Linked DNA regions of Arabidopsis thaliana. The protein of the gene in region 1 interacts with the protein of each later gene in a pairwise test. Each region holds a gene or a part of one and is shown on either strand. Other genes may lie near its edges.

Region 1 (5,124 bases):
TGCAGTAGAACCTGTCCTGCAGTAATGTCTGGAGAAAACAAAAGATTAGTCTACCTGATTAGAGAAAGATGAATCTTCAAAGAAAGTAATGAAAATCATTCTTAGTTAGTTACCCTTTAGTACAAGGAAGCTTGTCGATAGTGGAAGGACAAAAGGATCCAGCTGAACAGAAAACTTCACTACTACTACCAATATCAGCCCAAATATCAGCTCCACCACAAGTATGATTTGGCTGACCAGAAGGAAGCTGGTAATGATATCTGCAAAAACAATAATCCTGCAGCAATCTTACCATATGTTCAAGACAAACTTAGAAAAATGAGCAAAAACAAGACTTACGGGTCGCATAATCCTGTTGTTCTGTTCAGATTAGCTTCTGGACAATAAGCTCCCAAAGGACAAGCTTCACATCATAGTGAGGAAACAACATTAGAAATGGATCAACAACCGAATCTTTCATCGTTTCTGAATGTTTAAAGGAGGTTAACTTACGGATCATGCAGGTGATACCACGAGGGCAGAAGAAACCTGCGCAACAAGGCGCACATTGCTGAGTTCTAACAGGAACATTCTTGTCGTCTTTAAGGTCAACTTTCACATCTTTAGCAGTACGACAAGCCCATCCAGGCTCACATCCAGACATCCATGAAGATAGATTGCAGTTCTTGTTCGGTTTCAAGTAATTAGTAGCTCTCTTTGCACCTCCTAATAATCCATTGAAGTATATTCTCACTTCTGCAGCCGTACATATCCTCTGCATCATGTCACCTATTCTCAAACCAAAAACATCAGCAAAATTAAAATATTATTTCGGCTTCTGTCAATGAAACAGAGGATGTATAAATATACCTTTTGTGGTTTTACCACATGCGTTTAAGAAATCTGGCTTTGTAGAGAAATTAAAGGCTTCGTTATAATCTTCTTTTCTGAAACAAAGACAATAACATAAACATCTTCAATGCTATAGGATAAAGGTTAATGCCATTTTGAAACTAACACATTGGTAATGCAGAATCCGAGCTCTCTTTTGATGTCATCCTCAAAAACTTCGGTGAGATTCGATATTTTGTCGAAAACGAATTGGTTATAGAGACGATTAGCCGCGGGATTATCCAAGCTTCTATCTTCTTGACAAATCACTCTTTCTTGCTGAAGAATCAACACGATAAACACGAAGAACAATGGAACAAAATTCCCTGGAAAATATGAATTTCTCCTTCCCATCCCTGAAAATTTTCCAAGAAAACAACGTTGCAAAGAATTGTCTTGAGATCAGGATGGATCAAGGAGACATTAGACAATTGAAGGAGACAGAAAGAGAGAATTAGGGTTTGTTTGTTTTTTCTTTTTTTCTTTTTCTTTTTGGGGAGAGAGAGATTGTTGTGTATCTTGAGAGTCAAGAAATGGATGAGAGGAAGGCATGGCGATATATGAGGAGGAAAGAGACGAAAACAGATTTTAATTTGACCGTTTGACTTTCTCTAACTCGTGTCATGGTAATAGATTCTTCACCAAGGAATCATACTATGTAATTTACAGTTAAGGCTCTGTATTTTGATAATGTTTCTACTGTGACCTCTATAGTTTTGACATTTTTGGTGCAATATGTCAAATAGAAAAGATTTGTTTTTCTGAAAAATATAAAAATAAATTTACCAATGTGTTCTGAAGGCAATTCAGCTATAAACTATAAAAGGATAATGAACAAATTGGTTTATTCATCAATAAATTGGTTTATTTTGGTTTAAACATCGGTTTTGTTCGATGGTCCGGTTAAGACGGATTGTTAATTATTGTCGTTGAAAATTCAACAACTTTTTTTTGGTGAGAAAAACTGAAAGACACAAAATCAGTCACGAAAACCCCCAAATCCACAGATTAATTAGGGTTTTCGATTTCTCTGATGAAACTGAGAAGAATCTCTCATTAGGGTTCTTCATTCTTCAGAGGGATTTCTCATATCTCTCTCATTGAGCTTGCTAAAGCTGAAATCTGAGTTTGAAATTGGAATTCAGATTCCCATCCCATGTTGACCTCTTCTTGCTCTTCTTCGTCTCTCCTCTGCCATCGCCCAGCTCTCTCTAGTTCGCGTTCCAAGTTTAGGGTTCCTTGTCGAACTGTTTTCTCTCCTGCTCTTACCAAGATTTCCCCTTTAACTGCTTCTTCACCTTCTAAGTCCGCCAAGCATGTACGCTTCTTTCTTCTTTTCTCTGTTTATATTCAAAAGTATGAAACTTTGAATTGAAAAAGAGACTTTGGTGTTTGAATTGTGTTGAAATTGAGGAATCTTGGATTCGAATAGCACTGTGGATTCAGTTTATTTACGAAAGAGAGTGCTTTTTGATAAGGATTTGCTTGGATTACTAGTAGTTTTAGAAATTTGTGGTTTCTTGAGGTTTTAGTAATCTTGTGACTTCTTTATTGTAAGAATTCAATATTTGTATTGATGCAGTGTCAAATGGTTAATGGAAGAATCGGTAGTTTGTCTCCAATGTATTAAACTTTGGGGCTATTTTCTGCAGAAATGGAAGATTTTGTGTTTTAGAAATGAAGATTCTGCTCCCGAGAATCCGGAGCATTTTGTGCCTGAGGAATTAGTTAAGCCAGATCAAGATTCTCCATGTACAGATAAAACAGATTGGAAGGCAACTTTTCAAAAGGTAAAGATCTATGGACGTTACTGGATACTTGTACAGTTGAAGAAGAACTACCTTCTGTCTCTGTTTTAGTCTGACAAACCGGTTTTGATATTAGGGTCTAGACTCTAGAGGTTAGGACTGCAGCAGAATCTTATATTTGTCAATAAACTGTTATGTATATATCCATTATCCACTCTTTGTTTTTTTTTGTTTACTAGTGAAAAATAAGAATTTGAGGTTTCTTTTGATCTGGAAATGTGCCATACAAATTGATGAGGCTTTCTATTTACTAAATGTGATGGCAAAAATGCAAATAAGGAAACTCTCACAAAGGCTTATCGATCTTGTGTTCAACCTATTATTATTGGGTCTAAAAAGCACTTTGTTTCGTTGGTTTTCAGGCTGCAGATGCAGTTTTGAAGGCCATTGGGACTCGTTGGAAGGTACCATGGACTGTCGAGACCATTGTGCAGGTACCTACATCTTAATGTTACTTAACCTCTTTTGTATTACCGTATCATATTCATAACTTTTACACAAGAACATTATTGAAACCTATATAGAAATTTTACGGGATTATCTGATAAGAGTGTATTATGGATATTGAGTCTGTGTAAGACGTAGTTTTTGAATGTATAGACATTTAAACGTGGGCTAATATCCTTGACTTAGTAACTAGGGACTACAAGATAACATCAAGCTAATAGTATTATAGATGCTTTGGTTCATACAAAAGATGCAAAACAAACAGTAATGAGAAATGAGTTATATACCAAAGCTTTCAGTTATTTCCTTGGTTAATCCTGCGATAATCTGCCATGCCCCTAACATACACTTTTTCAGGTAATGCTTCTGTGGGTAGCCGCTTTCTGGTTCATTGGTTCATGGATGATCCCATTCATGGCTCATATATCAGGTTTCCACAAAGAATCCCTAACATTTAGAGGCCAAGCTTTGTTCAGTCTGATAACCGATGTAACAGAAGGCCTAGCCGGGATTGCTATCCTCCACCGTTGCCTCTCCATGTTCCGTCCACTTGCAAGTGATTGGTTCCGCTTTACCCTTAAAGGAAACTGGCAACTAGATGTTATCATAGGCTGTTTCATGTTCCCTTTCGTTAACCGGCTCTCCCAATTAAACCTAAACCTCTTGCCACTCCCACCAACCTCAAGTCCAGTCTCACTCTCAAGTGTCGAGCAGTCTATAATGGCTAGAGACCCTGTGGCAATGGCACTGTATGCAGTTGTAGTATCAATTTGTGCACCGGTTTGGGAAGAGATAGTGTTCAGAGGGTTCTTGTTACCGTCTCTAACTAGGTACATGCCAGTTTGGTGTGCGATTCTTGTGAGTTCGATTGCATTTGCTTTGGCACATTTCAATGTGCAGAGGATGTTACCATTGGTGTTCCTTGGAGTGGTATTGGGTTTGATATTCGCAAGGTCAAGGAACTTGTTACCTTCAATGCTGTTGCATAGCTTGTGGAACGGCTTTGTATTCATGGAATTGATGCGATGATGACTATCTTTTGTAGGTGTCTTGTTTCTTATTCTTCTTGTAATTGATTCAAAGTATGATGTTAGCTTTTATTTTTTTATAATAAATGGACAGTTCAATTGTACAAAGATAAAACCAAAAAAGGTCAAAAAGAAATTCTAATTTTACAACTTCAGAAAGTTGAATATGATTGGTCCAAAAATAAAATAAAGCCGGTTATACTTTGATTCGTCTTTTCAAAATTCTTTTTCAAGCTTTTTCTATCGATTGGACTAAGCTTATATCTTGAATTCTTGATGGATATGGAGGAAATGATACGAAACGACATCAACACACACATGTATAAACAAGAAGTGCATGTCAATAAAGTTATATGACTTTCTCAATTAAGGTGGTAATATGAATTATCCGGCCCTTGAGCTCAATTAAGGCCAACAAATTCTTCTTCGACCTCTAATTCAGTTTGCTAATACTGACAAACTCAAATCCATATCACTGTTAACTTTTTACTAAGATTTTTCCACTTATCGTTAAAGGTTGAGATATTTAAATATCTTTCTTCCTCTTTCCTACAGATAAATTCGATTAGTATTTATATAAATATATCAGGTTACACAATACACATGTTCAGGAGCTTATATTATTCTTTATACAGCCTTTTAATCCTTTTGTTAACAACTTTTTGTTTCGTAGTGAAAGATTTAAATAACTTGGTCTTCCCAATTGTTCCGAGTCTATATATTAAGTTTTGGTTAACCTTTAAGTACACTATAGAAATCACTTTTGGCTGCTATTTATTTGCATATTTCTTCTATCCAATAAGTAAACATATTTTAAAAATCTAGAGAGACTCGAGCCTCGAACATCGATTTCCTCAGGATCACCGGGAATGTCTAATTCTGTTAGCCGAAGTCATCGCCGTCAAATCAGACATATTAATGGTCAACATATATTACTTGGTCAAACCTTCCATTCATGTGTAATATATGGT
Region 2 (4,146 bases), about 17 Mb from region 1:
TGAACTAATAGAAAGAGAAGAAAAGTTTTAAGCATATGATCCCTTGGAATATTTTTAGCAGTGTGTGGTCACAACTGTTCACCAGAAACGAAAGAATCTTCTTTCTCTCTTCTCTTTTTGAGTAAATAGCTAAACCATACCATCTAAACGGCTTTTTGAAACAATCCTGCAACTTGTGTTCAGATTCTTACCAAGAAACAAGCCATTTTAGTTCAGATGAACACCAACCGGGGATTGTAAAGAAAGTTACCAGTTGTTTTTATATATTTTGTACTGGCATTTTTCTGATGGAAACGGGATCATCCAGCCCGATGATGGGGAGGTTTACTACTTCCAGGAAGCTTTTGGCCATAAGCTTGTCGGTACTAGCCGTGCTCTCACCACTCTACATCGACAGATTATCAGAGGAAGATCTAGAAGAGGAAGAAGAACTCTTCAGCTTTATGTTTTCCTTCTCTCTGCTTCTCCTCTTGTTGATTTTAGCCATAGCCTTGTCCTTGTACAGTGACCCGAGCTTGACCAGGTTTGATCCTTACTGGATTCACAGGCTATGTGGTTCGTTTGGTGGATTGCTTGTCATCCTCATCCTTCTTGTTTTCGTCTTGATATGCAAAGCCTCTGGTTAGAATCTGAGCGAAAGTTGTTTTGATGCCACAAATGAAGAAGAAAAGCTCATCTCTTGCAAAATTTTTACAATATTTCTGTATGTCAGGAACACAACTCTTTTATTCATTTTCTAAAGAAAATTTATACAAAACTCAGAAATCCAAAGATACAGAGTAATAAAATTACTCGAAAGGTAGATTTTACATTTGAAGCGCAGAAAAGAGTAGATATTTTAGACAGGTTCAGGTCATAGAAGCTGAGCTCGGTCTGTGGTCTTTGTGGCTGCTCAACCTTCTCCTTCTCACCCACTTTGTCTCACTAGAAGCTGGAGAAACGGCTCCATCAGCTGACGGGAGTTCGCAAGGAAGTGCCATAGCCGAGCTGGTGAAGGCGTTGAGAACAAGGAACGCCAAAATGGGAGACAAATCTAATCCTCCAAGAGGCGGTATGAATCCCCGGAAAATGTTCAAGTATGGATCACATAAAGTGCTGAAACAATGGTAACGCATATACACATAAATAGGAATCAACTAGGGTTCCTGGGCAGATCAATCAGGGTTTAACCAATCTTTAATCCATTTAAGAGTTGGACAAAAAAGTAGTAGACAGAGTTTATCCAAAATAAATTTCCTCTAAATCAAGTAAAAAGACTACCTTCAACAATCACGAATAGGACTTCTATGATCTAGATTTTGTTTTCATGGATTGATCGAAAACTTTTAAACCTGGATAAGATATAAAATCATTGTGGCATTTGAAGGCAACGTTTTACCTGAGGGGGTTAACAATGGCAGGAGGAGCACTCGGGAACCAGGTGAGTACTAGACGGACGACAAGGATGGTGTTATATATGTTGAGGAAATTGATCAAACCATTAGCAACCACCAATCCTGCAACTGAATCTCCAGGCAGAACCGCTGCAAATCCGTGATTAGACATCGCAAACCTCACCCTTGTAGTGTTTCTCAAACGAATCTGCAATGCAACAAAATGATCTTCATCTTTAAGACATAAAGAACCCAAAACCAGAAGCAAAGGCACACAAAATCATAACCGGACTTATCCAGAAGCCAAGTTTCATCTTTACAAGAAAAGAACCAAAAAAGATCCCAACTTGAGGACATATATAACTCAGGGTTATCAATGTGAGAAGGTTTTCCAATAAATGCTAAATGATCTAGACAACAATCTACTGGCTGTTAAAGAATGACCCATTTTGTATAAATAGAAACCACAAAGATTCACCCATTACAGTAACAATCAGAGCCAAGGCAAGTTCATGAGAAACACACAATCATCTTCTTAACTTAATCCATAACATTCTTTAGCATAAGCAGGCTAAGAGAAGTTACCTCGTCGCACAAAATGTGAAATTCGGAAGATAGGCGAACCGCTTCCTGAAAGAGAGGGTTCTTAGAGGCGAGCGAATGGAGGAATCCTTTAAATTTCTCAGTAGCAGAAATCAGAGACTGATGAAAGTCTTGAATCAATTTGACGGAGTCTGCAACTGGTGGTAGAAGAAGCAAATTGGGTTTGTTCGAACGCACAAGAGGTGTTTGCGTAAATGCCGAAGAGAGCGATACGAAAAAGTTCGGTATCGGTCCTGAAGGATTGGATTTCAAGCTTTTCATAGCTGGTTCATTCGCACTCGCCTCCATTGTTGCAAAGCTCTAGATGTGTTGTAGAAGAAGAAAGCTTGAGAAGATAAAGTTACCTCCAAACAAAAAACAATATTTCAGGAAGATGACACGTGGCATCGCTGTGTCCCGGGGGCTGTAATCCTCTAGCTGAGTTAGAAGGTCTTACCTATTAAAACTTTGCGTTTTATGTCTCTCTCTGATTTTTCTGGTGACAGCCTGGCTTTTTAAAAATTCCACAAAAATGGCTAATGTTCGGATATATTCCAAATCCGACGTGTCAACGTTTAGCGATACTCTTTTTAACGAACCATACACCAGTCCACCACTAGTTTCTTACTTGTATACATCGCGTGACTATCGTCGTCTGTCTCGCCGGAGAAAATGGCGAGCAATCTTCTCCGATTTCCTCTTCCTCCGCCATCGAGTCTTCATATTCGTCCAAGTAAGTTCCTCGTGAACCGATGCTTTCCAAGACTGCGCCGTTCTCGTATCCGGCGGCACTGTTCGCGACCTTTTTTTTTAGTATCAAACTCGGTCGAGATAAGTACTCAATCATTTGAATCTACTGAATCTTCAATCGAATCTGTGAAATCCATTACGAGCGACACGCCTATTCTCCTCGATGTGAGTGGGATGATGTGTGGTGGCTGCGTCGCCCGAGTTAAATCGGTTTTGATGTCTGATGATCGAGTCGCGTCTGCTGTGGTTAACATGCTGACTGAAACCGCGGCTGTGAAGTTTAAACCGGAGGTTGAGGTGACGGCGGATACGGCAGAGAGTTTAGCTAAGAGATTGACAGAGAGTGGTTTTGAGGCTAAGAGGAGAGTCTCGGGTATGGGAGTGGCGGAGAATGTGAAGAAGTGGAAGGAGATGGTAAGTAAGAAAGAGGACTTGCTTGTTAAGAGCAGGAACCGTGTGGCGTTTGCGTGGACATTGGTGGCTCTGTGTTGCGGGTCTCACACTTCGCATATTCTTCATTCCTTGGGAATTCACATTGCTCATGGTACATTGATTATAATGCAAAAAAAATTGTGATGCTAGATGTCATTTGTTGGATAAGAGATGTAGTTTATGACTTTCTCTTGCACCTGATGTTACTAGGAGGGATTTGGGATTTGCTACACAACTCTTACGTGAAAGGTGGTTTGGCCGTTGGAGCTTTGTTGGGACCAGGAAGAGGTTTGCTTTTGTTTAAACTTTTAGTTCGAATCTATGATTCTTACCAGCTAATGCATAATAAGTTTAGTAATTAGTATCATAAGAGAGAGATGACAAAGTAGTCGTTCTTAGGCTATTGTTTAGACTTAGATAAGTGCTAGTGTTCTACTCTGATTATATAGGTGAGCTTTGTTGAATCAGTTCTTCTTATGGATAATGGTTAGCTTAATTGAGTCGTCGTTGTCATAAGAGAGAAACTCTGAATTTTCAAACTTCTTAAGTGATAGTGATGGTTCCTACTATTCTTTGCGACTTTCATAACAAAGTGGTGGTAGTGATATTTGAGGCTGTTCGGAAACACAAATGACTGAAACAGATAGATGTATATTGTAGAATTGCTGTTTGATGGCATAAAAGCTTTCGGGAAAAGATCACCTAATATGAACTCGTTAGTTGGATTGGGATCCATGGCTGCATTTTCCATCAGTTTGGTGAGTTTTTGTACCCTGTAATTTATATTTGACTGGTGAGTATCCTATTCTGAAAACCTGCAGTTTCTGCATTCTGAATTTTGCAGATCTCACTAGTTAATCCAGAACTGGAGTGGGATGCTTCCTTCTTCGATGAACCGGTGAGTTTCTCTAGCAGATCCACAAGAGGATGAAAGCTTTTTATTATTACTTCCACTACATGCAAAATACAGTTTCAATAGTAAATTTCTGATTGATAGCTCTTGTCATTT

The links.
Region 2: the proteins of AT5G60750 (region 1) and YLMG2 interact in a protein complementation assay, tested with the Arabidopsis thaliana proteins (one large-scale study listed by BioGRID).

What each region holds. Positions count from the first base shown.
Region 1 is NC_003076.8:24,429,046-24,434,169, forward strand, and holds AT5G60750 (CAAX amino terminal protease family protein), read left to right. Parts: upstream 1-1,784; 5' UTR 1,785-2,026; coding exon 2,027-2,188; intron 2,189-2,522; coding exon 2,523-2,660; intron 2,661-3,040; coding exon 3,041-3,112; intron 3,113-3,482; coding exon 3,483-4,154; 3' UTR 4,155-4,349; downstream 4,350-5,124. Other genes in the region: ABCG28 (ABC transporter family protein), read right to left, coding at 1-28, 114-260, 340-403, 493-768, 850-926, 998-1,224.
Region 2 is NC_003076.8:7,240,502-7,244,647, forward strand, and holds YLMG2 (YGGT family protein), read right to left. Parts: upstream 2,380-4,146; 5' UTR 2,265-2,379; coding exon 1,959-2,264; intron 1,582-1,958; coding exon 1,379-1,581; coding exon of another isoform or gene 1,375-1,378; intron 1,340-1,374; exon of another isoform or gene 1,096-1,339; coding exon 849-1,095; 3' UTR 700-848; downstream 1-699. Other genes in the region: AT5G21910 (uncharacterized protein), read left to right, coding at 288-626; PAA2 (uncharacterized protein), read left to right, coding at 2,628-3,249, 3,348-3,425, 3,798-3,895, 3,982-4,035. UniProt on the Arabidopsis thaliana protein: Not required for the biogenesis and accumulation of native cytochrome b6 in the thylakoid membrane. Not functionally involved in the pathway for covalent binding of the c-type heme to cytochrome b6.